Linked DNA regions of Anolis sagrei. The protein of the gene in region 1 interacts with the protein of each later gene in a biochemical or structural test. Links are inferred from orthologs where the notes say so. Each region holds a gene or a part of one and is shown on either strand. Other genes may lie near its edges.

The links.
Region 2: the proteins of PATJ (region 1) and TANC1 interact in a test that uses a peptide from one of them, tested with the Homo sapiens proteins (2 studies listed by IntAct, with this or other methods). The link is inferred for Anolis sagrei from reciprocal best matches to the Homo sapiens genes PATJ and TANC1.
Region 3: the proteins of PATJ (region 1) and TJP3 form a complex in vitro, tested with the Homo sapiens proteins (2 studies listed by BioGRID and IntAct, with this or other methods). The link is inferred for Anolis sagrei from reciprocal best matches to the Homo sapiens genes PATJ and TJP3.
Region 4: the proteins of PATJ (region 1) and CLDN1 form a complex in vitro, tested with the Homo sapiens proteins (2 studies listed by BioGRID and IntAct, with this or other methods). The link is inferred for Anolis sagrei from reciprocal best matches to the Homo sapiens genes PATJ and CLDN1.

What each region holds. Positions count from the first base shown.
Region 1 is NC_090024.1:167,747,941-167,755,704, reverse strand, and holds the start of PATJ (inaD-like protein), read left to right. Parts: upstream 1-4,512; 5' UTR 4,513-4,831; intron 4,832-7,764.
Region 2 is NC_090021.1:201,130,584-201,139,163, forward strand, and holds the start of TANC1 (protein TANC1), read right to left. Parts: upstream 3,525-8,580; 5' UTR 3,481-3,524; coding exon 3,360-3,480; intron 1-3,359. UniProt on the Homo sapiens protein: May be a scaffold component in the postsynaptic density.
Region 3 is NC_090034.1:53,429,387-53,437,721, reverse strand, and holds the start of TJP3 (tight junction protein ZO-3), read left to right. Parts: upstream 1-5,165; 5' UTR 5,166-5,259; coding exon 5,260-5,277; intron 5,278-8,335. UniProt on the Homo sapiens protein: TJP1, TJP2, and TJP3 are closely related scaffolding proteins that link tight junction (TJ) transmembrane proteins such as claudins, junctional adhesion molecules, and occludin to the actin cytoskeleton.
Region 4 is NC_090023.1:271,015,119-271,022,802, reverse strand, and holds the start of CLDN1 (claudin-1), read left to right. Parts: upstream 1-4,303; 5' UTR 4,304-4,517; coding exon 4,518-4,740; intron 4,741-7,684.

The DNA.
Region 1 (7,764 bases):
AAAACAACCCCCCCCCATAAAACAAAAAAAAAAAAACAAAGCAAAAACAATTCTACATCTGAAGAAATTGGTTTATTTATTTATTTATTTATTTATTTACTATTCTTGTATACCGCTGTATCTCAAGCCCGAGGGCGACTCACAGCGGTTTCCAAACAGCAAAGACAATAAAACAGCAATAATTAATATACAATGACAGTTAAATTACACATTTCCATTAATAACTAATAAGCAATCATCAATACATAGTTATCCCAAATCCCATCCCCGATCGCCTCATCATCCAAGCGTGATCCAAATTCGTCGTCCATTGTTCCGTTCCTATGTTCAAATTACCAAATTGCACTGAATTACTCAAACGCCTGCACAAACATCCAGGTCTTCAACTTTCTACGGAATGTCATGAGAGATGGTGCCAGCCTAACGTCTACAGGAGGGGCGTTCCACAGCCGAGGAGCCACCACCAAGAAGGCCCTATCTCTCGTCCCCGCCAACCGTGCTTGAGAGGCTGGCGGGATCGAGAGCAGGGCCTCCCCACAAGATCTCAAAGTCCGGGTGGGTTCATAGGCCGAGATGCGGTCAGATAGGTATCTTGGGCCGGAACTGTTTAGGGCTTTATAGGCCAGTACCAACACCTTGAATTGGGTCCGGTAGCAAATCGGCAGCCAGTGGAGCTGGTGCAACAGGGTGGTTGTGTGCTCCCTGCGCTCCACTCCTGTTAGAATTATGGCTGCCGCGCGTTGGACTAATTGCAGCTTCCAGGCCATCTTCAGGGGCAGCCCCACGTAGAGAGCATTGCAGTAGTCTAGGCGGGATGTGACAAGAGCGTGGACTACCGTGGCCAAGTCAGACTTCCCAAGGTACGGGCGCAGCTGGCGCACGAGCCTGAGCTGTGCAAATGCTCCCCTGGTCACCGCTGAGACCTGGGGCTCCAGGCTCAGCGACGAATCCAGGGTCACACCCAAGCTGCGAACCTGTGTCTTCAGAGGGAGTGCGACCCCATCCAACACAGGCTGTAACCCTATACCCTGTTCGGCCTTGCGACTGACCAGGAGTACCTCTGTCTTGTCTGGATTCAACTTCAATTTGTTCGCCCTCATCCAGACCGTCACAGCAGCCAGGCACCGGTTCAGGACCTCGACAGCCTCCTTAGTAGCAGGTGGAAAGGAGTGACAGAGTTAGACATCATCTGCGTACAGGTGACACCGTACCCCGAAACTCCGGATGATCTCACCCAGCGGCTTCATGTAGATGTTAAACAGCATGGGAGACAAAATAGAACCCTGAGGAACCCCACAAGACAATGGTTGTGGGGATGAACAGGTGTCCCCCAATAACACCTTCTGGGAACGACCCTCCAGAAATGACCGGAGCCACTGCAGAACAGTGCCTCCGAGACCCATTTCCGCAAGGCGCCCCAGAAGGATACCGTGGTCGACGGTATCGAAGGCCGCTGAGAGGTCCAGAAGCACCAACAGGGACACACTCCCCCTGTCGAGCTCCTGGCGCAGATCATCCACTAAGGCGACCAAGACTGTCTCAGTTCCATGTCCCGGTCTGAAACCAGACTGTGCCGAGTCCAGATAATCCGTGTCTCTCAAGAATACCTGGAGTTGTGAGGCCACCACGCTTTCCAGGACTTTGCCCAAAAAGGGGAGATGGGAAACCGGCCGAAAGTTGTCACATTTAGTGGGATCTAGTGATGGTTTCTTCACACCCTCCCCCCTCCATGCCACATTTACATAAGCTCATCCTAAAATTAAAAACCCAGCCAGGTCTCTTCTACACTGCCATATAAAATACAGATTATTTGCTTTGAACTTCATTATATGGCAGTGTAGACTCATTTAGTCCAGTTTAAAGCAGATGATGTGGATTATCTACTTTGATAATTTGGATCACATGGCAGTGTACAAGGGGACGGAGGCTGGATCTACACTGCCCTATATTCCAGGATCTGATTCCAGATTATCTTCTTATCCCAGACTATCTGTAAGTGTAGACTCATATAATCCAGTTCAAAGCAGATAATCTGGGACCAGATCCTGGGATATAGGGCAGTGTAGATCCAGCCTCAGGCCCCTTCTACAGTGCCAGATAATCAAAGTTATCAAAGCAGAAAATCTACATTATCTGATTTTAACTGGATTATTTTAGGCCCCTTCCACACAGTTGAATAAAATCCCACAGTGTGGACTCAGATATCCCAGAATATCCAGGCAAAAAATTCACAATTACTGCTTTGAACTGGCTTATCTGAGTCCACACTCAGATAGTGTGGGGTTTCCTGCCTTGATATTCTGGAATATAGGGCTGTGTGGAAGGGCCCTCAGTTCAAAGCAGATATTGTGAGATTTTCTGCCTTGATATTCTGGGTTATATGGCTGTGTGGAAGGGCCCTTAGTCTACACTGCCATATAGTTCAGTTCAAAGCAGATAGTGTGGATTTTATACAGCTGTATAGATGGGGCCCCGGGGCCCTTCCATACAGCCATATAACCCAGAATTCAAGGCAGTTAATCCACAATATCTGCTTTGAACTTTATTATCTGAGTCTACACTGCCATATAATCCAGTTCAATGTGGATTTTATATAGCTGTGTGGAATGCTGCCACATTCCTTTTATCCCCCCCCCCCCTTCCCTTTCCTTCTTCATAGGAATAGTGCTATAACTGCTTTGCATGCTAGGTTGGGAGAAAGGCAGGGCTGAAATAAAACAAATAGATAATAAATAATTTTAAAAATAGATGCCCAACGATTTCACACTGACTCATAATTTGTGAACATCTTCAAGTTTCGTTTAGCCCATTGCTGATTTCACAAACAAAGCGACTAAACCAACCAGCTTCTCTTCCTGAGGACTCTGATTTGTGACTGTGCCTTCAAGTCGGCTGCCCATTTAGAGTGACTTCATTTCTCAGGCTGGATCTACACTGCCCTATAGCCCAGGTTTTGATTCCAGAGTATCTCCTTTGGATTAGATTATATGATAATCTGGGATCAGATCCTGGGATATAAGAAGTGTAGATCCAGCCTCAGAGGTGACTTGACCAGTTCTTGGGGAAAAAGGCGACTCTGTGTTGTTGTAGGTTTTTTCGGGTTATATGGCCATGCTCTAGAGGCATTCTCTCCTGACGTTTCGCCTGCATATATGGCAAGCATCCTTAGAGGTAGTGAGGTCTGTTGGAACTAGGAAAATTGGGTTTATATATCTGTGGAATAACCAGGGTGGGACAAAGGACTCTTGTCTGTTGGAGCTAGGTGTGAATGTTCAACTGACCACCCTGATTAGCATTTGATGGCCTGGCAGTTTTTTGGTGTGGCTTGTTAGTGCCTGAGGGAATCTTTTGTTGAGCGGTGATTAGCTGTCCCTGATTGTTTCCTCTCTGTTGTTTTGCTGTTGTAATTTTAGAGTTTTTAAATACTGGCAGGCAGATTTTGTTCATTTTCATGGTTTCTTCTTTCTGTTGAAATTATCCACATGCTTATGGATTTCAGTGGCTTCTCTGTGTAGCCTGACATGGTGGTTGTTAGAGTGGTCCAGCATTTCTATGTTCTCAAATAATATGCTGTGTCCAGGTTGGTTCATCAGGTGCTCTACTATGGCTGACTTCTCTGGTTGAAGTAGTAATAGAATAATAGAATCAAAGAGTTGGAAGAGACCTCATGGGCCATCCAGTCCAACCCCCTACCAAGAAACAGGAATATTTCATTCAAATCACCCCTGACAGATGGCCATCCAGCCTCTGTTTAAAAGCTTCCAAAGAAGGAGCCTCCACCACACTCCGGGGCAGAGAGTTCCACTGCTGAACAGCTCTCACAGTCAGGAAGTTCTTCCTCATGTTCAGATGGAATCTTCTTTCTTGTAGTTTGAAGCCATTGTTCTGCGTCCTAGTCTCCATGGCAGAAGAAAACGAGCTTGCTCCCTCCTCCCTGTGGCTTCCTCTCACATATTTATACATGGATGGCTATCATATCTCCTCTCAGCCTTCTCTTCTTCAGGCTAATCATGCCCAGCTCCTTAAGCCGCTCCTCATAGGGCTTGTTCTCCAGACCGCAGAGCTTTTCATGTTCCTTGATTCCTGAATGCATTTGGTGATCCCTGTAGACTTGTCCACATGTAGACTCTGGTTTCTCTCTTTGGATTCACCCTTCCTTCCTTTTCACTCTATTTTCTCTTTCAATTTTGGTCTGGTTGCCATTTGCCCCCACAAGGGCACTGGATCTCCTCTTCTCTTGGAAGGTAAGCCCTGGTTAGCCCTTGGATGGGAGACCAACGAACATTGTAGCTTGTATTTCAGAGGAAAGAACTGGTCAAGTCACCTCTGAGGCTGGATCTACACTGCTTATATCCCAAGATCTGATCCCAGATTATTATATAATCCAGTTCTAAGCAGATACTCTGAGATCAGATCCTGGGACATAGGGCGTGTAGACCCAGCCTGAGAAATGGAGTGGCTCTAAGTGGGCACCCGACTTGAAGGCACACACACACAAATCAGAGTCCTGCCTGCCTCTGCCTGCTGCTGCCTGGCAAGTCTTTCTAAGCTTCTCCTTGTTCGACAAGGAAGTGTTTTCCTCGCAGGAGTCCTTGGCTTCCACGGGAGCGCCTCTCCTCCCAAAGCTCCCTTCCCCGAGTCCTGGGCTCGGCTTCCTTTCGCTCCGGAGCGACTCCCCTTTGCGTCGGCTTCCTGTGTGGCAGGTGAGGTGCGGCTCAACTCCAGACTCCGGCTTCCGCCCAGGTGAGAGCCAGCCAAGACCTGGGAGGAGGCAAAGGCAAACGAGGAAGAGACCCTCGCTTGCTCTCTCCCTCCCCTTCCCGGGGATCAGGTAAGGAAAAAGGGGTCTTGAGCCCTCGAGTGGGGCCATGGAGGGGGCAAAAGGGGCACCCTGGGCAGGCAGCCTTCTCCAGCTGATCTTGGGCACTGACACGACGCCCTCCCTCTGCTTCCTGGCGCGTTTACGTTGCGTGGAATGCCGCCCCACTTTTGCTTTGCCAAACTCTTGGCAGGGGCGTCCAAGCTCGCTGGCCTTCGGAGTTTGCGGCTTTGCTTTTTTTAGCCCCGAGATCCTCCCACGCGTAGCAAAACTACCCAGACCGCAATCCTCGTTTGGACTGCAACTTTCCAGCCACCAACTGGACGGCTTCAGCCAGGGCTGGTTTTGCAAATCTGGCCAAAGGGAGCAGCTTGTTTGTGAAGCCGCCGCCTGGGAACTTTAGACCAGAGCTGCTGCTTAGAACTTGGCCCACTCCTGACCCTTTGCTGCCTGATACATTTGGATGTATTCCCCTGGTCTATAGGTATAAAAATCAAACATTTATTTATCTACAGTATTTATTTACCTCTTTTCTCACCCCTGGGGGGGGGGGGGGTTTACAAAAAACAATAGCAACACTCAATGCCTTGCATACATAAACCAAAAAGCATATGACTATTCATAAAATAGGACAAATTTACCATAAGATAGCAGGGCATTTAAACATGAAGCATAAAACATTAAAAACACATAATAAAAACATGATTTACTGACAATAAACCAGCATTTATTGTCAGTAAATCAGTGTTTCTCAAACTTGGGGTTGGGACCCCTGGGGGAGGGGTCGCGAGGGGATATCAGAGGGGTCACCGAAGACAGTCAGAAAACACAGTATTTTTTCTCTTGGTCATGGGGATTCTTTGTGGGAAGTTTGGCCCAATTCTATCATTGGTGGGGTTTAGAATGCGATTTGATGGTAGGTGAGCTATAAATCCCAGCAACTACAACTCACAAATGTCAAGATCTATTTCCCCCAGACTCCACCAGTGTTTACATTGGGGCATATTGAGGATTCATGCCAAGTTTGGTCCAGATCCATCATTGTTGGAATCCACTAGTGCTCTGTGGATGTAAGTGAACTACAACTCCCAAACTCAAGGTCAGAGTCCACCAAACCCTTCCAGTATTTTCTGTTGGTCATGGGAGTTCTGTGTCCCTGGTTTGGTTCAATTCCATCATTGGTGGAGTTCAGAATATTCTTTGATTGTACATGAACTATAAATCCCAGCAACTACAACTCCCAAATGACAAAATAAGCCCCTGTCCAACCCCACCAGTATTCAAATTTGGGCATATCGAGTTTTGTGGTAAATTTGGTCCATGAATGACAATACAGTACATCCTACATATCAGATATTTACTTTACAATTCATAACAGTAGCTGAATTACAATTATGAAGTAGCAACTAAAATAATGTTATGATTGGGGGTCACCACAACATGAAGAACTGTTTTAAGGGGTCGCGGCATTAGGAAGGGTGAGAACCATTGCCAAAGATGCAGGCGAAACGTCAGGAGAGAATGCTTCCAATAATATAATATATTGTAGTAAAGGTAAAGGTTTTCCCCTGACATTAAGTCCAGTTGATTCTGACTCGGGTGTGGTGCTCATCTCCATTTCTAAGCCGAAGAGCCGGCGTTATCCGTAGACACCTGCAAGGTCATGTGGCCGACATGACTGTATGGAGAGCCGTATATAATGTAATACAATATAATACTATGAATTCTACTACTAATAATACATTATAATTATATATTTTATATTGCATGTAATATTACAATATCATGGTATAGTACAATATAGTAATATATAATACTGATGCTAAAAATATAATATATTGTAAGCTGCTCTGAGTCCCCTTTGGGGTGAGAAGGGCGGCATATAAATGTTGTAAATAAATAAATAAATAAATAAATAAAGTAGAACATGGCCATACAGCCTGAAAAACCTACAACAACCCAGTGATTCCAGCCATGGAAGCCTTTGACAATATATTAAACCAACATTTGCCAGGCAGAGTTTCTTTTTGTGGAATACAGCTGAAGACTCCACTGTAACATTGCGCCTTTGTTGTTGACAGATTTGGGTTAATGGGTAGCCTTCAGAAACCTTTCACTGTAGCCAAATGTTTTGTGACCCCAGCATTGATCTAAGGGGACCCTACTTGGGTCAAGACCCACAGTGCTCTGGGCCCCTTCCCCACAGCTGAATAAAATCCCAAATTTTCTGCATTGAATTGGAATATATAGCAGTGTGGACTCAGATAACCCAGTTCAAAGCAGATATTGTGGGATTTTCTGCCTTGATAGTCTGGAGGTCCTTCCTCATAGCCCTATATCCCAGAATATCAAGGCAGAAAATCCCACAATATCTGTGTTGAACTGGGTTATCTGAGTCCACACTCAGATAATGTGGGATTTCCTGCCTTGATATTCTGGGATATAGGGCTGTGTTGAAGGGCCTTGGGTTATATGGCTGTGCAGAAGGACCCTAGGTAGAGGGAGGCAGAGGAAGTGCCGGGTGTTTTCAGGGATTTCAGATAACATGCAATACCTATCAAACTCTACTGCTACATGATTAGCATTTCAGGTTCTTCAATATTGGTAGAATCAGCCACAAACATGCATTTAAGAGAGGACTCTGCAATATAGATCTGTGAATGAGACATTCTATATTGTTCATGTCAGGCCCGTAGCCAAGATTTTGATTCGGTGGGGGCTGAGTTTGATTCGGACGGGGGGGGGGGGGAGGGGTGAGTCTGAGTGAAAGAGGGTCTACTCTAGCAAACTTTTTGTATCGTTACCCCAATAGCCCCATGCATATGGGATATATTGAGCATGGTGATCAGATCATGGTATGAATAAACATAACAATTTAAATAATGTACCAGTAAGGCCTTCTCGCGGGCTACCATGAGAATTTCGGGGGGGGGGTGCTGAAGCCC
Region 2 (8,580 bases), on another chromosome or scaffold:
CCCCAGAGTCTGACACAACTAGACTTAACGTCAGGGGAAAATCTTTATCTTTACATTTTATGAACACGTAAAACCTAAGTTCCACCAGCACTAGAGAGCACCCATCCTACACCACTAACAGCAGAAGGGCACATGTGACTCTGCCACATTAGAGTCCTCTCCCCATTAAAAAATTCAGCTTATCAAATGTTCCCCCAGAGATCAGCCAGACTTGACTTCTCATATTAAGGACCTTCTTCTTCAGGACAAGAGGTTGCTTCCCAGCCTCATGTTCCAGGGCTTTGGCCACCACTTACAACCCTTGGCTACCTCGGCACCAATACCCTTAACCCCAAGGCCTTGCAACAATGGTCCCAGGGTGCATCTACAGAGTAGAAATAATGCAGTTTGACGTTGCTTTAACTGTTCTCTGAAACAGCTCTCTGCTCCTTCTGCTAGTCCTTTTGTACAAAAGCCTGGCGTTTAGCATACGACCTCAGCCACATCTGGTTCCCAGTCGCTTAAACCAAGGGTGCATCTGCAGTGCAGAATTGATGCAGTTTAACACAACTTTAACTGCCATGGTTCAACGCTATGCTTAAATTAAGAAATAGTTTTCTACAGAGATACTCACAGGAACATCTCAGCAAGCAAGAGTCCAAAAGTGGCAGGCTAAAATTCGGAACCTCAAGCCATGGCTGATACCAAATGAGAGACTCTTCCCCCCCCCCCCCCCCCGGGCACAGAGAAGACTGGGCGACTTGGAAGGCGCTAAACAGACTGCTCTCTGGCACCACCTTAAGAAATGGGGCACAAAGTGGAGTCCACAACATGCAAGTGTGGAGGAGAGCAAACCACAGACCACATATTATAATTCAGCCTGAGCCCTGCCACATGCACAATGGAGGACCTTCTTATAGCAACACCAGAGACACTCCAAGTGGCCAGCTACTAGTCAACCCTTTCTGAGGGTTCAATGTCTCAAACCACACAACCTCTGAGGATTCCTGCCACAGATGCAGGCGAAATGTCAGGAGAGAATGTTTCTGGAACATGGCCATACAGCCCAGAAAACTGACAACAACATTTAGCCTAATGCCCAGTTTCTTAACTTTGTTTATGTTTTAAAATACATTACAACTGTACCCTCGGTTCGCTTCTGTCACGATAAATAAATAAATGCTATGGAATCTTGGGAGTTATAGTTTTGCAAGGTGCCAAATAGTGCTGGTGCCTCACCAAACTGCAGCTCCCAAGATTCCATAGTATGGAGCCAGGGCAGTATACTTTCTAGAGATGCCCCTCCAGTAGTTTCACTTTGAGTGCCATACAAACCCTGTGCACTCCTGGACTTGAAGCGCATCTACATTGCAGAAGGAATGTAGCTTTGGATTGTTGTAGGTTTTTCAGGCTGTATGGCCATGTTCTAGAAGCATTCTCTCCTAACATTTCACCTGCATCTGTAGCAGGCATCCTCAGAGGTTGTGAGGTTTGTTGGAAACTAGGAAAATTGGGTTTATATATCTGTGGAAAGTCCAGAGTGGGAGAAAGAACTCTTGTCTGTTGGAGCGAGGTGTGAATGTTTCAGTTGGCCACCTTAATTAGCATTTGATGGCCTGGCGGTTTTTAGGTGTCGCTTGTTCCTGCCTGGGGGAATCCTTTGTTGAGAGGTGGTTAGCTGTGTCTAGTTGTTGCTTGTGGAGAGTTACCGTTTGTTTGAGAGTTGTTCTTTATTTACTGTTATAATTTTAGATTCTTTTAATGCTGGTAGCCAGGTTTTGTTCATTTTCATGGTGTCTTCCTTTCTGTTGAAATTGTCCACATGCTTGTGGATTTCAATGGCTTTTCTGTGTAGCTTTGGCATCAACTTTTGAGTGCCATGACTCCATGGCATGGAGCTGTGGTTTGGGGAGGCAGAGCAGGCTTGCAAAACAACTCCCAGGATCTCAGAACGCGGGCAGGTCAATGCACAGTGTGTACAATTCTCCTAATACATCCTTTCTCCCAAAACGTTATTGGGTCCCAGCTTCTCCACTTGCCCCAGAAGCCACTTTTCAGCCAGGCAGAAATGTAGAGTGAATGCAATTCTGACACCGCTTGTACTGCCATGCCTCAAAGCCCTGGATCCACGGAAGTTGTAGTCCTGTCAGGTCCTCAGCCTTCTCCAAACTCTGGTGACTCTGTGGCTTTGAGTTAGGGTGTCCAAACCACTTTCGTGTGCCCTGGAATACTGTGTCCAATTCTGGGCACTACAATTGAAGAGAGATATTGACAAGCTGGAATGTGTCCAGAGGAGGGCAACTCAAAGGATCAAGGGTCTGGAGAACAAGCCCTATGAGGAGCGGCTTAAAGAGTTGGGCATGTTTAGCCTGCAGAAGAGAAGGCTGAAAGGAGACATGTATAAATATGTGATGGGAAGTCACAGGGAGGAGGGAGCAAGCTTGTTTTCTGGTGCCCTGGAGCAGGCCCGTAGCCAGGATTTTGTTTCGGGAGGGGGGGGCGCAGTCTGAGTGAAAGAGGGTCTACCCTAGCAAACCTTTTGTATCATTACCCCAATACCCCCATACATACATATCATGATATGAATAAACATAACAGTTTAAATAATGTAACAGCAAGGCCTTCTCGCGGACCACCATGAGAATTTCGGGGGGGGGGGCTGAAGCCCCCCAAGCCCCCCCCCCCCCCCCGCTACATGCCTGCCCTGGAGACAAGCTGGAATGTGTCCAGAGGAGGGCGACTAAAATGATCAGGGGATATGGAGAACAAGCCCTTTGAGAAGCAGCTTAAAGAGCTGGGCATGTTTAGCCTGAAGAAGAGAGGGCTGAGAGAAGGCATGATAGCCATGTATCAATATGTGAGGAAAAGTTATAGGGAGAAGGCTTGTTTTCTGCTTCCCTGGAGACTAGGATGCAGAACAATGGCTTCAAACTACAAGAAAGGAGATTCCACCTGAACATGAGGAAGAACTTCCTGACTGGGAGAGCCGTTCAGCAGGGGAACTCTCTGCCGCGGAATGTGGTGGAGACGCCTTCTTTGGAGGCTGGATGGCCATCCGTCGGGGGTGCTTTGAATGCAATTTTCCTGCTTGGCAGAATAGGGTTGGACTGGATGGCCCATGAGGTCTCTTCCAACTCTATGATTCCATGACCTCTGAGGATGGCTGCCACAGATGTAGGCGAAGCGTCAGGAGAGAATGCTTCTAGACCATAGTCCGGAAAAAAAACTACAACAACCCAGAGAAGGAAGGGCGCGCAGAAAGAAGGGACAAGCCCTCGCCGGGAAGAAACTTCGGCTCCCAGTTGGTTTCCTTTTGAGCAAGGACTGGGGAAAGGGAGGAGAAGGGGGAGAAGAAGGGAGGCGACTCGTGGGCCACTTACCTGCCTGCCTGGGCGAGGAAGGAGAAGAGGAAGCAGGAGACTGGGTCGCCCTTGGCTCTTGCGCCCTCGTTGCGCGCTGAGAGCAGGCGAGGAAGGCAGGCGAAGGGGAGGATGAGCTCATTGGGAGCCAGTCTCCGCCTTCTTTCCTTCCTGCCTGCCTGCCTTTCTCTCTCTTCCTTCCCTCCCTCTTCCTCCCAGGTTGTGTGGCAGAGGGATGTCTCGCCTCTTTCCCCTCCTCCGCCCGTGTCTGGGCTGAGCCTCCTCCTCAACTTCAGCCAAGCTCACCACCAGCTCACCCTGGCAACCCCCTTCCGCTTGTTATGGGCTTTTCACTCCTCCTTTCCTCCCTCTCTCCCTCCCTTCAGCGGCCAAAGTTCCTGTTGCTCAGGGGAGAAGGGGGGGGGGGGGAAACAGGCAAACCATCTGGGACCAATTAGCAGGAAAGGGGGCTCAGCAGGATTGCAGGGCCAAGCAGGAGGAGGAGGAGGAAGGGAGAACAAGCCTTGGCCATGCCATCCCTCCTCCTCTTTCTCCCTTCAAACCTGGAGTTCAAGAGGGGGGGGGGATTTCCACAGATAGATAAATTTTCCTAGTTTGCAACAGACCTCACAACCTCTGAGGATGCCTGCCCTAGATGCAGGCAAAACGTCAGGAGAGAATGCTTCTAGGACATGGCCAGGCAGCACAAAAAAACTACAGCAACCCAAGGGGGTGATTGATTGATTGATTTAAAGCAGGGGTCCTCAAACTTTTTAAACAGAGGGCCAGGTCACAGTCCCTCAAACTGTTGGAGGGCCAGGTTATAATTTGTAAAAAATAAATAAATGAATGAATTCCTATGCACACTGCACATATCTTATTTGTAGTGCAAAAGACACTTAAAAACAATACCATAATTAAAATGAAGAACAATTTTAACAAATATAAACTTATTAGTATTTCAATGGGAAGTGTGGGCCTGCTTTTGGCTGATGAGATAGGATTGTTGTTGTTGTCGTCGTCATGTGCTTTATTTATTTATTTATTTATTTCTCGCACTTCTACCCCACCCTTTTCAACCCCCGAGGGGGGACTCAGGGCGGCTTACAAAAGGCACAATTCAATGGCAGTACAACAGCAAGGTAAAAATAAAACATATATAAACAGCAATTAAAACAATCCATTATACATCACAGTCCCTAAAAACCAATCTAATGATTTCAAGTCATTTCAAACTTAGGTTGACACTAAGCAAGGGCTGGGTAAATAACCTTGGAGGGCCGTATCCAGCCCCCAGGTCTTTGTTTGAGGACCCCTGTTTTAAAGCATTTACATCCTGCCCTTCTCACTCAGGTGTTGTTTGTTTGTTTGTTTGTTTGTTTTTGTCATGTCAGGAGCGACTTGAGAAACTGCAAGTTGCTTCTGGTGTGAGAGAATTGGCAGTCTGCAAGGATGTTGCGCGGGGTGCGCTTGGATGTTTCTGATGTTTTACCATCCTTGTGGGAGGCTTCTCTCATGTCCCCGCATGGGGAGCTGGAGCTGATAGAGGGAGCTCATCCACACTCTCCCTGGATTTGAACCTGTGACCAGAGAGTCTTCAGTCCTGCTGGCACAGGGGATCAACCCACTGCATCACCGAGGGCTCACTCAGGGTGGAGGACAGGAAAAGAGATGGGTCAAAGCCAACCTTAAAAACTGGCATAGACACTGAGAACTGGGAAGCCCTGGCCCTTGAGTGCTCTAGCTGGAGGTCAGCTGTGACCAGCAGTGCTGTAGAATTTGAAGGGGCACGAATGGAAGGCGAAAGAGAGAAATGTGCCAAGAGGAAGGCGTGCCAAGCCAACCCCAACTGGGACTGCCTTTCACCTGAAAACCAATGCCCTCACTGCGAGATAACATGCGCATCAAGAATAGGGCTCCAAAGTCACCTACGTACCCACTGCCAGGACACCGAACTTGGAGGACAATCTTAATCAGACATCGAGGGATCGCCTAATGTCAATGTCAAAATGATTGATTTAAAGCAGGGGTCCTCAAACTTTTTAAGCAGAGGGCCAGGTCACTCCCTCAAACTGTTGGAGGACCAGATTATAATGGGGGGGGGGGAGGGGGAATGAATGAATTCCTAAGCACACTGCACATATCTTATTTGTAGTGCTAAAAAGACACTTAAAAATAATACATAATTAAAATGAAGAACAATTTTAACAAATATAAACTTAAATGGGAAGTGTGGGCCTGCTTTTAGCTGATGAGATAGGATTGTTGTTGTTGTGTGCTATCAAGTCATTTCAGACTTAGGGTGACCCCGAGCGAGGGCCGAGTAAATTACCTTGGAGGGCCGTATCTGACCCCGGGCCTTAGTTTGAGGACCCCTGATTTAAAGCATTTATATTCTGCCCTTCTCACTCAGGGCAGAGCACAACATATATAGGGCCAATATTCAATACTGGAACATAAAATAAACTATAAACAAACATAAACACTACAATCAGATAACTCCAAGAAGCACTGCTTGGATATCAAGCAAAACGTGGGTGCCAGAAACAATATCCTACGAAAGCTGATTGGCACAACCTGCCGATCACAGCCAGATACAGTGAAGACATCGGCCCTTGGGCTTTGCTACTCTGCTGCTGAATATGCACGCCCAGCGTGGAACACATCTCACCACACTAAAACAGTGGATGTGGCTGTTTTCGTGTGGAACATTATCACAGGATGTCTACACCCCATAGAGAAATTATACTGTTTGACCGGTATTGCATCACCTGACATCCACCAGGAAGTAGCAGCCAATAATAAAAGGACCAAGGCAATGACGTATCTGGCCCACCCGCTGTTCAGATATCTGCCGGCACGCCAATGCCTTAAAACAAGAAATAGTTTTCTAAGATCTACAGAGATACTCACAGGAACACCTCAGCAAGCAAGAGTCCAAAAGTGGCAGGCTAAAACCCGGAACCTCAATCCATGGCTGATACCAAATGAGAAGCAGAAATGCCTTGAACATACATAACATTCAAGTGTGTGTCTCATCCTCTGCAACAGGCTTCAGAGATCTGAATTTATTAGAAATCTCCCTCTGCACATTCCTTCTCCCTATTTTCCATTTCTTCACCCAAGATCTAAACTGAACATTTGTAGAAGTTCCCTCCTCTCATGCCATCTGTTTCCACTACTCCCCCATTTTCACCTCCCACCTCTTCTTGACTCGCCCCACTCCTGCTCATTAAACAAGGCCCAAAGTTGCAGCCTATTTCCCCTTGTTTTCAAGCTAACAAAGTTTGACAAATACCGTTTGCCTTTTAAATGTTTTGCTCAGAACCACTTAATCATTTTGGAAGAAGTACATTTCATTGTTTGTAAAGGTTCATTGTATTTTTTTTTATTCATGAAATCACTCATTGTTAGAGCAAACCTAGTTCAAGTAGCCTCAAAAGTATTGGAGAACTTCAGAAAACTGGCAAAAGTCATAGTAAAAATCTAAAAGTTTTCTCAAATTCCCGTTTCATATTTTTGCTCCAGTAGTTTTATTATACTGAGAACAACTCTAATACAGATGCCTATGGTGGTGGTGGTTGTTGTGTGCTTTCAGATTGTTTCTAGTTTAAGAGGGCCCTAAAGTGGACCTAAAGGAACCTTCAGTGGTGAAGTGGGTTAAACTGCTGAGCTGCTGAACTTGCCGACCGAAAGGTCAGCAGTTCAAATCCGGGGAGCGGAATGAGCTCCTATCGTTAGCTCCAGCTGCTCCCAACCTAACAGTTCTAAAACAAGCAAACGTGAGTAGATAAATAGGTACCACTCCGGCACGAAGGTAATGGTGCTCCATGCAGTCCTGCTGGCCACATGACCTAGAGACGTCTACGGACAATGCCGGCTCTTTGGCTTAGAAATAGAGATGAGCACCACTCCCCAGAGTTGGATCCGGCTAGACTTAATGTCAAGGGGAAACCTTTACCTTTAACCTTTCATGGGGTTTTCTTGGCTAGACTTGTTCAGAAGAGGTTGCCTCTACCTTTCCCTGAGGCTGAGAGAGTGTGACTTGCCCAAGGTCAGCCAGTGGGTTTCTATAGCTAAACGGTCAACATCTAAGTCACTATATTACAGTTACACTCTCCTATAATGCTAACTCAGAAATAACTCCACTGTGTTTAATAAGGTTTGCTGCTAAATAAGCATGCATAGAATTGAGCTGCTTTGAGTCTCCTCTGTGGAGAGAAAAAGTGGGGTATAACTAATAATAAAAATAACTGGTGGTCTCGGTGATGAGCACACTGGGTGCAGTGCCTAAAGACCTTAGTCTGCACTTAAAAACAATTGGTGCTGACAAAACCGCTTTGAGTCCCCCTAGGGGTGAGAAAAGAAGTATATAAATGCTGTAAATAAAATAAATAAAATTACCATCTGTCAACTGCAAAAGGCCACCCCACTCGGATCTGTACACATTATTTGTGATGTAATATAAAAATAAACTACGTGTAGTTCACATTTGATCAGCCCACACACTGTCTTGCCAGAGAAAGAAAATATGCCATGCAGATGAACAATAAAGAACAAGTAGTTTACTCTTCGTAGTTCACAACAATATGTACAATGTGATCAGTTACATCAACTCACATAATGTCCTTTTATGAGAGATTTAAAATGGTCTTTCTTTGTCCATGTGGATAAACTCTTTCAGCAGTTCACACTCCAAACGCTGTCTCTCTCTGCTTCTCTTTTCTGTGCTTCTCTCTGAGCACCTGCATAGCTCAAATCTGAACAAAAATGTAACAGTAACCAAAAGTCCCAGGCCCAGCCATCTCCCTGCACGAAGCTCAACCAATCAGCTTCATGCATCTCATTTTACAGTTGACACACACTAATTGATTTCTTGCATGCTCCAACATTATTCACTGATACATCACACAGTCCTAGACACTTGGGAAGTGTCCAATGTGTGATCCAATGCAAAAGCCAACATAGTGATCTTGTTTGCTGTTTTCTAATCATGTTGTGCATCAAATGATGATGATGATGAATCCTGAAGATAGACAATTGCAAAATCTTGGATATATTTGGCATATACACACACACACACATTGACGGTTAATCACTTCACAATTCCATGGTCCCAATTTACAAGATAACATTTTTAAATTTATAAGAGCAAGTTTCTTGGTTTTGCCCTATTTGTCACACTTTAATCTGACCAGTTAGCCTGAAACAGCCATTAGTTATCCTTGCAGTGGGTTCACTC
Region 3 (8,335 bases), on another chromosome or scaffold:
GGTGGCTTCGAAATTACAAAGAAAGGAGGATAAGACATTGATTATTATTATTATTATTATTATTATTATTATTATTATTTTACTGACACAAAACCACAGTATGTCACAGCAAAGGAGATATATATGCTGCATTTCGTATCACAAAATCACAAGCCGAACACTTCCCAAGCGTCTAGGACTGTGTGACGTATTTTCAAATGATGTGCCAGATCCAAGTAAGGTGGCCTTCTGCAGTTGACAGATCGTGATTTTTTCGATGTTTATTGTTTCCACATTATTATTATTATTGCCACTAAGTCAATTTGAACATAGGGCAACTCTATGAATGAAACCGCCAACCATTATTTATTTATTATTGCTACTTAGTAAAATTGAACTTAGGGCAACCCTAGGAATGAAACTTCCAACTGTTTATTATTATTATTATTATTGACACAAAAGCACAGTATGTCACAGCAAACGAGATCTATATGCTGGATTTCCTATCACAAAATCACAAGTCGAACACTTCCCAAGCGTCTAGGACTTGTGTGATGTATTTTCGAATGATGCGCACAGATCCAAGTAACGTGGCCTTTTGCAGTTGACAGATCGTAATTTTGTCAGTATTTATTGTTTCCAAATGCTGGCTGAGATCTTTTGGCACGGCACCCAGTGTGCCCATGACCACTGGGACCACCAGTGCTGGTTTATGCCAGAGCCTTTGCAGTTCGATTTTGAGGTCTGAGTTTTTCCTGTTGTTTTTCCTCAATGTGACTGTCACCCGATATGGCGACATCAATAATCCAGACTTTTTTCTTTTCCACAATCGTGATGTCTGGTGTATTGTGTTCCAAAACTTTGTCAGTCTGGATTTGAAAGTCCCACAGTATTTTTGCATGTTCATTTTCCACGACCTTTGTGGGTTTATGATCCCACCAATTCTTTGCTGCTGGCAGGTGGTACTTGTGACATAAGTTTCAGTGAATCATCTGGGCCACAGAGTCATGTCTTTGTTTGTAGTCCGTCTGTGCCATTTTCTTGCAACAGCTGAGGATATGATCCAAGGTTTCATCAGCTTCCTTGCACAGTCTGCATTTTGGGTCATCTGCTGATTTTTCAATCCTGGCCTTAATTGCATTGGTTCTGATGGCTTGCTCCTGGGCTGCAAGAATCAGGCCTTCTGTCTCCTTCTTCGGGGTCCCATTCATGATCCATAACCAGGTCTTCTCCTTGTCAACTTTTCCTTCAATCTTCTCAAGGAACTGCCCATGTAAGGCTTTGTTGTGCCAGCTGTCAGCTCTAGTTTGGAGTGCAGTTTTCTTGTACTGACTCTTTGTCTGCTGTGCTTTGAGAAGTTTCCGATTATTGACTTCAATTAAAGCAGGTTCTTGGCTTTCCTTGACATATTCTGCCAGGGTGTATTTTTCTTCTTCGACTGCTTGTTTGACTTGTAAAAGCCCTCTTCTACCAGACTTTCTAGGCAGCTAAAGCCGGTCAACATCACTGCGAGGATGTAATGAATTATGAATGGTCATGAGTTTTCTAGTTTTTCTGTCCAAATTGTCCAGTTCTGCCTGCGTCCAGTTTACGATGCCAGCAGTATATCTTATGACAGGTATGGCCCAAGTGTTTATGGCCTTGATGGTGTTGCCTCCATTGAGCTTGCTTTTGAGAATTTTTCTGACCCTTTGAATGTATTCTTGGCTGACCACAGTTTTCACATGTTCATGTTTGATGTTGTCCAGCTGTAGTATGCCGAGATATTTATAGGCCTCTGGCTGGTGACACTTGATCGCTTGGCCATTGGGCATATTTATGTCCTCACTTTCAATGATTTTTCCCTTCTTCAGTGCCACTGCCGAACATTTGTCCAAACCAAACTCCATGTTGATATCCGTGCTAAAGATTCGGACGGTGTTAGTCAGAGACTGGATTTCAGTTTCAGTTTTCCCATACAGCTTCAGGTCATCCATGTACAGCAGATATGATATTATTATTATTATTATTATTATTATTATTATTATTTGCCACTAAGTCAACTTGAACTTAGGGCAACCCTATGCATGAAACCTCCAACCATTATTTATTTAAGCCCCCTGGTGGCACAGTGGGTTAAACCATTGAGCTGCTGAACTTGCTGACCAAAAGGTTGGCGGTTTGAATCCGGGGAGCGGAGTGAGTCCAGCATCTGCCAACCTACAAGTTCGAAAACATGCAAATGCGAGTAGATCAATACGTACCACTTCTGCGGGAAGGTGATGGCACTCCATGCAGTCATGCTGGCCACATGACCCCCCAGAGTCAGACATGACTATACTTAATGTCAGGGAAAACCTTTACCTTTACCTATTATTACATTATATTTATCATAATCATCATCATCATCATCATTTTTTTTCTTCTTCTTCTTCTTCTTATTATTATTGCCAATAACTTTAACTTAGGGCAACCCTACAGATGAAACCTCCAACCATTATTCATCATTATTATTACATTATTATTATTATTATTATTATTATTATTATTATTGCTGTTAAGTCAACTTGAACTTAGGGAAACCCTATGAATGAAATCTCCAATCATTATTAAATTATTATTATTATTATTATTATTATTATTAAATTTATGGTATTATTATTATTATTATTATTATTATTATTTAATTTATGGTATTATTATTATTATTATTATTATTATTTAATTGCCACCAAAGTCAACCTGAACATAGGCAAACCCTATGAATGAAATCTCCAATCATTATTCATTATTTTTATTACATTATTATTGTTATTATTATTGCTGCTAAGTCAACTTGAACTTAGGGAAACCCTATGAATGAAAACTCCAACCATTACTAAATTATTATTATTAAATGTATGGTATTATTATTATTATTACTATTATTATTCTTATTCTTATTTAATTGCCACCAAGTCAACTTGAACTTAGGGAAACCTTATGAATGAAACTTCCAACCATATTATTATTATTATTATTTGCCACTAAGTCAACTTGAATTTAAGGCAACCCTATGAATGAAACCTCCAACAACAACAACAATAATAAAAAAATAAAAAAATAAATTATTCCTGGCAAGCAGTAAATGGAAATGTAAGCTGGAAAATTCAGGAGGTGACTTTGAAATTCACAAGGAAAGGTGGGTAATAATAATAATAATAATAATAATAATAATAATAATAATAATAAGTATAGTATTAGTAAGTATGAGTAAGGAGCCCCCGGTGGTGCAGTGGGTTAAACCCTTGTGCCGGCAGGACTGAAGACCGACAGGTCACAGGTTCGAATCCGGAGAGAGCGCAGATGAGCTCCCTCTATCAGCTCCAGCTCCTCCTGCAGGGACATGAGAGAAGTCTCCCACAAGGATGGCAATACATCAAAACATCCGGGTGTCTCTTGGGCAACGTCCTTGCAGACAGCCAATTCTCTCACACCAGAAGCGACTTGCAGTTTCTCAAGTCGCTCCTGACACGACAAAACAAAAGTAAATATAGTATATTATAAAATAATCATAGAAAATAAATAAATAATATATAATAATCGTTTTTCATTCATTTGATTCTTCTTTATATATTCATTCTTCTTGTTGTCTTCTGGTGGGACCTGGACAATCTTCTTTCAAGTATTTGACCAGGTTTTCAGCAGAAGGGACCTGTGTGTTTGAAATGGGTTACAATGAGAAACAACAACAACAATATAATATAACATAATATAACATAACAGCCAAGACCTCCCAACAAAGGATCCTCCAGGCAGGAAGCAGCCAGACTTTGAAGCTACAAGGCCCTTCATAGAATCATAGAATCAAAGAGTTGGAAGAGACCTCATGGGCCATCCAGTCCAACCCCTGCCAAGAAGCAGGAATATTGCATTCAAATCACCCCTGACAGATGGCCATCCAGCCTCTGTTTGAAAGCTTCCAAAGAAGGAGCCTCCACCACACTCCGGGGCAGAGAGTTCCACTGCTGAACGGCTCTCACAGTCAGGAAGTTCTTCCTCATGTTCAGATGGAATCTCCTCTCTTGTAGTTTGAAGCCATTGTTCCTTGTCCTAATCTCCATGGAAGCAGTAAACAAGCTTGCTCCCTCCTCCCTGTGACTTCCTCTCACATACTTATACATGGCTATCATGTCTCCTCTCGTCCTTCAGGCTAAACATGCCCAGCTCCTTAAGCCGCTCCTCATAGGGCTTGTTCTCCAGACCCTTGATCATTTTAGTCGCCCACCTCTGGACACATTCCAGCTTATCAATATCTCTCTTCAATTGTGGTGCCCAGAATTGGACACAATATTCCAGGTGTGGTCTAACCAAAGCAGAATAGAGGGGTAGCATTACTTCCTTAGATCTAGACACTATGCTCCTATTGATGCAGGCCAAAATCCCATTGGCTTTTTTTGCCGCCACATCACATTGTTGGCTCATGTTTAACTTGTTGTCCACGAGGACTCCAAGATCTTTTTCACACGTACTGCTCTCGAGCCAGGCATCGTCCCCCATTCTGTATCTTTGCATTTCGTTTTTTTCTGCCTAAGTGGAGTATCTTGCAAGAGATGTAGTTTCCCAAAGTACCTTAGTAAGCCAGACTCCCTGGTGCATCAATCCTAGGAGAGTTTCTCCCCGTAGAGATGTTCAATGTATTGTCGAATTTATTTATTTATGTATTTACTTCATTTATTTACCGCTTTTCTCAGTCCTTGGTCGACTTTCTCAGCCCTTGGGCGACTCAAAGCGGTCGAAGGCTTTCATGGCCGGAATCACTGGGTTGCTAATCGAGGTGGCCAATCTCAACATTCACACTTGCCTCAGGCAGACAAGAGTTCTTTCTCCCACCTTGAACATTATTCCACAGGTGTATAAACCCCACTTGCCTAGTTTCCAACAGACCCTTCAACCTCTGAGGATGCCTGCCACAGATGTGGGCAAAAGGTCAGGAGCAAATACTTCTGGAACATGGCCAGACAGCCCGAAAACACTCACAGCAAGCCAGTGATTCAGGCTGTGAAAGCCTTTGACAACACATTCTCTGCCTGGCTTGCGTAGCTCCCTCCCTCCTTCCTTCTTTCTCCTGTTTGTTGTTTGCCAAACCGGAGCCTGCTGGCCTCACCTGGCCCAGGTGTGCCAGGCCCTGCCCGAGGGGGCGAGGCCAAGGGAGGGCCCAGGAGGAGGAGGGGCCAAAGGGCAGCCCTGGGCCTTTCCTGGGCAGGTAAGCCTTGGCGGTGGGCGATGGGACCTCCTTGAAGGAGGGCCTCTGAGCAGAACATGGCCGTGAGGTTTCAGGTGAGACCTGCCCTCCCTTCCTTCCTACATTCCCTCCCTCTCGCCCTCCTTTTCTTCTTTCCCTCTTCTTCTTGTCTTCTTCTCTTTCCAATTGTTCCTTTGGCCGCTGTCCTCATTCTTCCTTGTCTTCTGGTTCTTACCTTTTTTCTCTCCTTCTTTCCATCTTCCTTCCTCTCTTTCCAATTGCATATATTCTCCCCTTCCTTCCTTCCCTCCTTCTTCCTTGCATTCCATTCCTCCTTCCTTCCTTCCTTCCTTCCTTCCTTCCTTCCTTCCTTCCTTCCTTCCTTCTTCCTTCTTCCTTCTCTTTATTCCTTAATTCCCATATGCCTGCCCTGCCTCCTTTCCTTTCCCTTTTCTTTTCCGTTCTTCTCTCCTTCCTTCCTTCCTTCCTTCTTTCGTCTCTCTTTCTTTCTTTCTTTCTTTCTTTCTTTCTTTCTTTCTTTCTTTCTTCCCTTTCCTCAACTCAAAGGTCTTTGGACAGAGGACTTTTTCTTCTCCTTTTTTTAAGGCTCTTAAACCCTTCGAATAATCCAATCCTTTCTTTTCTAATCTTTTTTTCTTTCACTGATCTGGCCTTCTTTGGTGTTTTCCGCTCTGCTGGGCCTTGGAAGGGAGGCAAAAAACAGAGAGAGATTGGCATTGGATATGAAGCAAGCCGGTGCCCTTCCTTTGCTTTGTCTTGACAATAAGGGACCCCCAAAGGCCATCTAGTCTGACCCCGTTTGAATCCCATGCAATCCCTCCTAACAGATGTCCAGGGAGAGCACACGTTTCAGCGAGAGGCCCACGTTCCATTCGGGCGGCAAAGAGGGCTTGGCTTGGTTCCATTGGTTCGCCAACTGCCCAGGAATGTGGACCTGTCCCTCCCTTGTTGTGCCTTTCTGGGAGGCACTGTTTACCTTCCCAGGCGGCCTTTTGAGAAAAAAAAATCCCTTTTGAGCCTCAGAAAGACTTCTGACGCTTAGGACTTCTGACGCTTAGATCCACTTTTTCACTTGTTGACATTGAGAGGTCTAGTTGTGAGACCGATCGGGGAATAAAGTGGTTACCTATGCTCCACGGGTTTACATTCCCCGTGAGGACATATCTCTGCAGTCTGGGGGTTCTCCTGAACTCGGCACTGATGCTTGAAGCACAGGTGTTGGCATTGGCTGGGAGGGCCTTGAAAAGCCAGACTTGGCCACGGTGGTCCACCCCTTCGTTACATCCAGAATGGACTACTGAATGGCGCAGCTACTGACAGAGAGGTCATGAGTTCGAAACCAGCCTGGGTCGGAGTGAGCTCCCGACCATTAATAGTCTAGCTTGCTGTTGACCCATGCAGCCCAAAAGACAGTTGCATCTGTCAAGTAGGAAATTTAGGTACCGCTTTATGCCAGGAGGCTAATTTAACTAATTTACGACACCATAAAACCTTCCAGCAGCATGTGTAAGAATGAGGAAGTACTCCATCAAAGATTCGGTGTCACAAGTGGATAGTGAAGCGGCAACTACTCCCTGTGCATACCCTCAAAAGCTGGAATGTTAAATTGCCTCTGTGTCTGTCTATATATATTTTATGTCTAAATGACGTTGAATGTTTGCCATGTATATGTGCATTGTAATCCAGCCTGAGTCCCCTGCGGCGCGAGAAGGGCGGAATATAAATACTGTAAATAAATAAATCCTGCAATGCACTCTACATGGGGCTGCCTTTGAAGATGGCTCGGAAAGGTTGACAGCCAGGCTACTAACCTGGGCTAGTTATAGGGAGCATGCTAGGCTCTTATTAAAGCAGCTCCACTGGCTGCCGACAAGTTTCCAGTCCTCTAAAGCCCTACTCGGTTTAGGTCTTTCCTGTCTTCATGACCACATCTCCCCCTTTGAACTGGCACAGGCTCTAAGATCCATCGGAGAGGCCCTTCTCTCAGTTCCACCTCTGTCTCAAGCACAGTTGGTGGGGACGAGAGAGAGAGAGAGAGGGGGGGGGCTTCTTGGTGGTGGCCCCCCCGGCTCTGGAACGCCCTCCCCAGGGAACTTAGGCTGGCCCCCACACTCCAATGTTTTTGGAAAAACTTGAAAACATGGCTCTTCCAGCAGGCCTTCTCACTACCTCTGAGGATGCTTGCCATAGATGCATAGATGCAGGCGAAACGTCAGGAGAAATGCCTCTAGAACATGACCATATAGCCTGAAAAAACCTACAACAACCCTTCACACATGGTCAAAACATCAGTTAAAACTTGAGGACCAAGCGAATTGTTTGGCTCCAGCACTTTAATGCGACTGAAATTGATACGACCTATTTCAATCCACAGCTATGGCTGTGTTTTTCAGCAAGGATTTTATTTACATTAGTAGGGGTTTTTATTTGCGATTTTTATGTATATCTATTTTATGTTAATTGATATTGCTATTGTTTTATACATGTTCATGTATTTTACTGTACCTTGTGTATTCTGTTGCACTACTACATGCTTTTGTAAACTGACCCAAATCCCTTTGGTGGCAGAATATAAATAAAAGCATTATTATTATTATTATTATTATTATTATTAGATACACAACAAGATTAGTACACAGCAAACAAAATCAGTCTGCTAGCTTTTGAAATGGATCACACGTCGGACACTTCCCAAGTGTCTAGGACTATGTGATGTATCCACAAATAATGTGTGCAAATCCAAGTAGGGTGGCCTTTTGCAGCTGACAGATGGTAATATTGTCAGTGTCGATTGTTTTTAAGTGCAGGCCAAGGTCCCCACTTTGCATGTTGAACCTTGAATGCTTTTGTGAGCCGCCCCCAGTCCCTTCAGGGAGATGGTGGCAGGGTACAAATAAAGTATTATTATTATTATTATTATTATTATTATTATTATTATTGTACACAGCAAACAAGATCACTCGTGGATCACATGTCGGACACTTCCCAAGTGTCTAGGACTGTGTGATGTATCGGTGAATAATGCATGCAGATCCGAGTAGAGTGGCCTTTTGCAGCTGACAGATGGTGATTTTGTCAGCGCCGATTGTTTTTAAGTGCAGGCCAAGGTCTTTAGGCACTGCACCAAGTGTG
Region 4 (7,684 bases), on another chromosome or scaffold:
ATCTTCCAGGTGTTTTGGACTTCAGCTCCCAGAATGCCTGATAATTGGATAAGACAGCTGTGGATTCTGGGAGTTGAAGTGCAAAAATCTGAATAACTAGATGATCTATGCCCATAATTCCCAGACTCTCGTCCTTCAGGAGCTTTGGACAACACTAGGGATTCTCGAACCTGGAAGACCAAAGTTGGGGAAGCACTGGCTGTAGATGCACCTATTTCCTAAAATGCAGAAACCCTTTGCGGATGAGGGAAAAAACAACCAGGCACATTTTAACACCTCTCAACAGGGGATTTTCCCAGGCTCAGCCAGGCCTTCAAATGCTAATGAAGGTGATCAGTTGAAACATTCACATCTAGCTCCAGCTTCTTGCCCCATCCCAGCCATTCCAGAGATATATAAACCCATTGTCCTAATTCCAACAGACCTCACTACCTCTGAAGATGCTTGCCATAGATGCAGGCGAAACGTCAGGAGAAATGCCTCTAGAACATGGCCCTATAGCCCGAAAAAACCCACAAGAACCTAGTGAAAAACACCTTGTTTGTTCTTCACCAACACACCAGACCCTTGCGGTGTTTTTATCTCTCGGTATAATCCTCCGCCAAGCAATTCTCAGACAGCACTTTCCATAATTGTTCTTCAGCTCCAAGACCATCCAGCCACAAAGAGCGAAAACAACTCAAAAGGGAGGAGGAGGTTGTTTTGGTCCGGACGTTGCTTCATCTTGATGACTTGAGGGATTTTGGCTGGCCTCTCGGAGGGGTTTGCAAAACACGCCGGCTCAAGGGATGAGGATTACCCACCAGGCCTGGCTCCACCACAAAGGGATCCAGAAGCAGGGAAACATCATCGCTCCCTTCTATCCGAAACAACAAACAAAAGTGGCTCCATAAATAGAACGTCTCTCGTGTGTTGACTCTCCCCTCCTCTGGCCTCAAACAGGGATGGTCCTGGCATTCGTCTTCTGCATTTTTTCCCCAAATCTCCAGGTTATAGAATCACACAATCTTGGAGTTGAAAGGGACCCCCGAAGGCCATCCAGCCCAAACCTTTTCTGCCAGGCTAAAATGCACAACTACATCCCCTAGAATCATAGAATCATAGAATCAAAGAGTTGGAAGAGACCTCCTGGGCCATCCAGTCCAACCCCATTCTGCCAAGAAGCAGGAATATTGCATTCAAATCACCCCTGACAAATGGCCATCCAGCCTCTGCTTAAAAGCTTCCAAAGAAGGAGCCTCCACCACACTCCGGGGCAGAGAGTTCCACTGCTGAACGGCTCTCACAGTCAGGAAGTTCTTCCTAATGTTCAGATGGAATCTCCTCTCTTGTAGTTTGAAGCCATTGTTCCTTGTCCTAGTCTCCAAGGAAGCAGAAAACAAGCTTGCTCCCTCCTCCTCCCTGTGGCTTCCTCTCACATATTTATACATGGCTATCATATCTCCTCTCAGCCTTCTCTTCTTCAGGCTAAACATGCCCAGTTCCCTAAGCCGCTCCTCATAGGGCTTGTTCTCCAGACCCTTGATCATTTTAGTCTCCCTCCTCTGGACACATTCCAGCTTGTCAATATCTCTCTTGAATTGTGGTGCCCAGAATTGGACACAATATTCCTCCTAGTGTGCATCTACATGTGGAATTAATGCATGTTGACACTACTTTAACTACCATGCTCATGGCCTTGGCATCATAAGAGCTATAGTTTTATAAGGTCTTTAGCCTTCTCTGCCAATGAGTGTTGTGCCTTTTCGCCTGGCAAAAAAAAGGCTTCTCCACCAAATAGTGTTATTATTATTATTTATTTTTATTATTATTTATTTCAGGTACTTTTACCCCGCCCTTCTCAACCCCCGAGGGGGGACTCAGGGCGGCTTACAAAAAGGCACAATTCGATGCCTACATAGAATACATACAGCAATCAAACAATTATCACAGTTAAATTGGTCAGTATATAACACAATCAATAAAAATAAAACACAATCAATAAAAAACTAATCTCAAGCTCAGCGTTCGTCTTTCAGAGTTCCATAATTCCATTCCACTTTCTCAATTCCTGTCCATTGTCGAAATCCTCCTTTATCTGCCCGATTGTCCGAATGCCTGGTCCCAAATCCATGTTTTCAGTTTTTTCCTGAAGGAAAGGAGGGATGTCCCTGTTCTGATTTCCCCGGGGAGTGAATTCCACAGGTGAGGGGCCACCACCGAGAAAGCCCTGCTCCTCGTCCCTGCCAATCTCACTTGTGATAGAGGCGGGGTCGAGAGCAGGGCCTCCCCAGAAGATCTTAGACTTCGAGGTGGGATGTAGAGGGAGATCCGTTTAGACAGATACACTGGGTCGGAACCGTATAGGGTTTTGTTGCCTCACCAAACTACAACTCCCAGGATTCTATAGCAGTGAGCCATGACAGTTAAAATGGGGTCAAACTGCATTAATTCGACAGTATAGATGCACCCCTAAAAGCAGGTTTTCCATTCTCTGCTTAAAGACCTCCAAAGAGCGAGGGTCCACCACATGTTGAGGAAGGCCGTTCCCCTTTCAAACCCCTCTTTCACTCAGGAAAGTTTTCTCAATGTTTTGGTAGAGTTTCTTTTCCAGGAGTCGGAATCTATTACTCTGTCTTAGGGTGCAGAATGAATTCAGTTTGACCCATGTTAACTGCCATTTTCCAATGCTATTGAGTCCTGAGTGTTATAGTTTGGTGAGGCAACAACACTATTTGGTGGAGAAACCTCAGAGACTGTGTAAAACTATAACTCCCATGAAATCTCAGTGTAATGACTGAGAGTACTGTGAATAGAGGGATAAAATGTGGAGGCCGTGACAGACTTTGTATTTCTAGGTGCAAAGATGACTGCAGATGCAGATTACTGTGGCCAGGAAATCAGAAGACGCTTCCTACTCGGGAGGAGAGCAATGTCCAGTCTCGATATAATAGTAAAGAGCAGAGACATCAGACTGGCAACCAAGATCCATTGCCTAGTCAAAGCCATGGTCTTCCCTGTAGTCACCTACGGATGTGAGAGCTGGACCTTAGGGAAGGCTGAGCCAAGGAAGAGAGATGCTTTTGAGCTGTGGTGTTGGAGGAAAGTTCTGAGCGTGCCTTGGACTGCAAGAAGATCCAACCAGTCCATCCTCCAGGAAATAATGCCTGACTTCTCACTGGAGGGAAGGATACTAGAGACAAAGTGGAAGTCCTTTGGCCACATCATGAGGAGACAGCAAAGCCTAGAGAAGGGAATGATGCTGGGGAAAGTGGAAGGCAAAAGGAAGAGGGGCCGACCAAGGCAAGATGGATGGATGGCATCCTTGAAGTGACTGGACTGACCTTGAAGGAGCTGGGGGTGGTGACGGCCGACAGGGAGCTCTGGCGTGGGCTGGTCCATGAGGTCACGAAGAGTCTGAGACGACTGAACGAATGAACAACAACAACATGGCAGCGTAGAAGAGACCTGAAATAAGAAAGAGCAATAGATTGACTTTTGCATGTGTGAATCCCTCTGAGGAGCAGCTGAGGGAGCTCGGGATGTTTAGCTTGGAGGAGAGAACGATAAGAGGGAACATGATGCTTGAGTTGATTTATTGGAAAGGATGATACATTGAGGAGAAAGGGAAAAGCGTGCTTCCTGTTGCTCCAGAGGCTGGGACACAATGGAGCCATGGATGCAAATTGCAGGGAAAGAGATCCCACCTATGTTTTAGGAAGACATTCCTGATGGTAACAGCTTTCTGACAGTAGGATGTGTCACTTTGAAGTATGGTAGAACCTCCTTCTATGGAAGTTTTGTTAACAAAGAGTTGTGCTTGAATTATTTCTTCCCACACAGTAGTACGAGGTTGGACCGGATGACCTCTGGGTTCCCTTTCAAGTCGAGGGGTTCTATGTAATCACACACGACGTCTAGCAAGAAAGTATCTGGAAATCCCTTTGACGCCTCTCCTTTCCTGTTCTGGAAGTGTCCCGACGCTTCCAAAGAACAGGGTGGATCCTGCAAGGGAGATGTGTCATGAAGCGAGAGAACACATCGGGGGTGCACTTTGGCCCAGGAAGGAACGCAACTTGGGGTGACTGATATTGCCTTAACCCCACACCTTTTCCACCAGTCGAAGCAAGTATCTTTCCCCACCTTTCCCCAGAACTAAACCTTGAAGTATGGGTTGCAAAAGAACCGTCAAAGCATTGTAACTTTTTTTGTTTTGTGGTTGCAATTTTTCATTTGGGAAAGCAAAGCACTGGATGGACGGCAAAGTCGAACGAAACCACCAGGCGGAGCTGGAGAGGCGCTGGTTTAAATAGAGCTGCCGAGCTGCCCCGAAAGCCAGTTCTCCAAGTCGGCTCCAAGTCCAGCAGCATCAACCTGCTCTGAAATCCCTCGGATTACAAAAAGGAGAGCAGAGAAGAGCAGAGAAGGATCCCTCCTTGGCTTCATCTCTCCAAGGACCAAGCGCCCTTCCTTCCTCCATCCATCCATCCTTTTCAGGTGCTCCTTTGCCTCATTGTTGCTGTTCCAGTGGAGACGCAATGGCCAGTGGTGGTCTGCAGATGCTGGGCTTCCTCCTGGCCTTCATCGGCTGGATCGGCACCATCGTCAGCACTGCCATGCCTCAGTGGAAGATCAACTCCTACGCCGGAGACAACCTCATCACGGCCCAAGCCATCTACGAGGGGCTCTGGATGAACTGTGTGATGCAGAGCACCGGGCAGATGCAGTGCAAGGTCTTCGACTCCCTCCTCAAGCTGCCAGGTAGGGCCCCAAAACAGGGTCAAGATGGTGATGATGGCAGGTTGGGTCTCTCTCATCTGAAATGCACAGGAGCAGATGTGCTTTGGATTTGGATTTATTGGTATTTTAAGATCGGGATAGACCTAGCATGGGCAAACTTTGACCCTCCAGGTGTTTTGGACTTCAACTTGGTAGTTGGTAGGGTGTTAGGAATTGTGTGAGTTGAAGTCCAAAACACCTGGAGGGTTGAAGTTTGCCCATGGTGGGTCTATCCTGATCTTAAAATATCAATATATCCAAATCCAAAGCACATCTTCTGGTCCTAACCGGACTTGACCCATATATAGTGTCCTATGAAATGTCATTGAATGCTGTCTTAGATTTGGGTGCCATCTCAATGACACCTCATGCTATAGGTCTATCCCAGACATGGGCAAACTTCGACCCTCCAGGTGTTTTGGACTTCAACTTGGTAGTTGGTATGCTGTTAGGAATTGTGTGAGTTGAAGTCCAAAACATCTGGAGGGTCGAAGTTTGCCCATGCCGGGTCTATCCCGATCTTAAAATACCAATAAATCCAAATCCAAAGCACATCTTCTGGTCCTAACCGGACTTGACCCATACATAGTGTCCGATGATCTTGACCCATATATAGTGTCCTATGAAATGTCACTGAATGCTGTGTTAGATTTGGGTGCCATCTCAATGACATCTCATGCTATAGGTCTATCCCAGACATGGGCAAACTTCGACCCTCCAGTGTTTTGGACTTCAACTTGGTAGTTAGTAGGGTGTTAGGATTTGTGTGAGTTGAAGTCCAAAACACCTTGAAGGCCCAAGGTTGCCCATGTCTTGAGTAGACCTATATCATAAGATGTCATCGAGATGAGAACCAAATCTAACACAACATTGAGTGACATTGCATAGGACACTATATATGGGTCAAGACCATAGGACAGTATGTATGGGTCAAGTCTGGTCAGGACCAGAAGTGTTTGGGAGTTGGTGTTTACCCCATATTCAAATATATATGTACATCACGAGAGAACTTGGGTGTGGGCTCCAAGTCTAAATGTAACATTTGTGTCAGTTTCATAGACACCTTCCACAGGTCAATAATTCCTTATCCCAAATGCTTCTGTGTCATTGACTCCTATGGTTGAGATTCCAGGGGTTTTCATATTTTCAGATACTTGTATCTGCAATTACGGACATCATGAGATGTCTTGGAGATGGGACACCAATCTAAACACAAAATTCATTTAGGTGTCATAGACACTACACACTCGTACAGGTCAACTCTCCCTTTTCCAAATGCTTGGGACTAGAAGTGTTTTGGAATGCTTTGTTTTGGACATATGTAAACAATGAGATATATGGAGATGGGATTCAAACCTAAACATGAAATTCAGTGATGTTTCATCAACAATGGAATTCAGATGTTGGCTACGAACCTCATGAGATATCTTGGAGTTTGAACCCAAGTCGAAACTTGATATGTTTCATAGACATATGAGTGTTCTTCGTCAAAAACAGTTGGGATCAGTCATCTTGGTATCTTGGAATTTGGGTTTTTTTGAAATATGTATTTGTCTAAACACAAAATTCATGTATATTTAATGGACACCTTATTATGGGTGGAGTATTCCTTATCTGAAATCCTGGTGAACAGAAGAGTTTTGGGATATTTCATATTTTCCAATACCTGTATTTGCCTATCTGTATCTTTGAGATTAGATTCAGGTTTAAACTATCTATGAAACATACAAAAGTCATGGAAAGGCAGAATATTCCTTATCCAAAATGGTTGGGATCACTTGTGTTTGGGGTTTTAGATTCCCCCCTCCTCCTTATATGGGTGGAGTATTCCTTATCCAAAAGGGTTAGAACCAAAATGTTTAGGATCTGGAATACCTGTTTCTGGGTATGCTCACATATTGAGGAATCTTGGACATGGGATCCAAAGGTAAACACAGCATCCATGTATGTTTAAAAAAGACAGTTTGAGTATTCCTTATCCGAAATGTTTAGAACCAGAGTTGTTTGGTATTAAAATTTTTGGAATTCTTGTATTTGTGTCTTCGTCCCTCATGAGATCATAGAATCAAAGAGTTGGAAGAGACCTCATGGGCCATCCAGTCCAACCCCATTCTGCCAAGAAGCAGGAATATTGCATTCAAATCACCCCAGACAGATGGCCATCCAGCCTCTGTTTAAAAGCTTCCAAAGAAGGAGCCTCCACCACACTCCGGGGCAGAGAGTTCCACTGCTGAACAGCTCTCACAGTCAGGAAGTTCTTCCTCATGTTCAGATGGAATCTCCTCTCTTATAGTTTGAAGCCATTGTTCCATTGTGTCCTAGTCTCTAAGGAAGCAGAAAACAAGCTTGCTCCCTCCTCCCTGTGATTTCCTCTCACATATTTATACATGGCTATCATATCTCCTTTCAGCCTTCTCTTCTTCCTGGCTAAACATGCCCAGCTCTTTAAGCCGCTCCTCATAGGGCTTGTTCTCCAGAATCTTGATCATTTTAGTCACCCTCCTCTGGACTAAAATGATCAAGATTTTGGAGAACAAGGCTGAGGGAGTGGTCCCTTTGCTTTCCAGTGATACAGAAACTTTGCTTTGTGTGCAAAACAATTACAAATATTGTCCACTAGCTGTCCCCTGCCATGCGTTGCTGTGGCCCACATGGGGGTTCTGTGTGGGAGGTTTGACCCAATTCTATTGTTGGTGGGGTTCAGAATGCTCTGATTGTAGGTGAACTATAAATCCCAGCAACTACAACTCCCAAATGTCAAGATTCTATTTTCCCCAAACTCCACCAGTGTTCACATTTGGGCATATTGAGTATTCGTGTAGAGTTTGGTCCAGATCCATCATTGTTTGAGTCCACAGTGATCTCTGGATGGAGGTGAACTACAACTCCAAAACCAAAGGACACTGCCCACCAAACCCAGTATTTT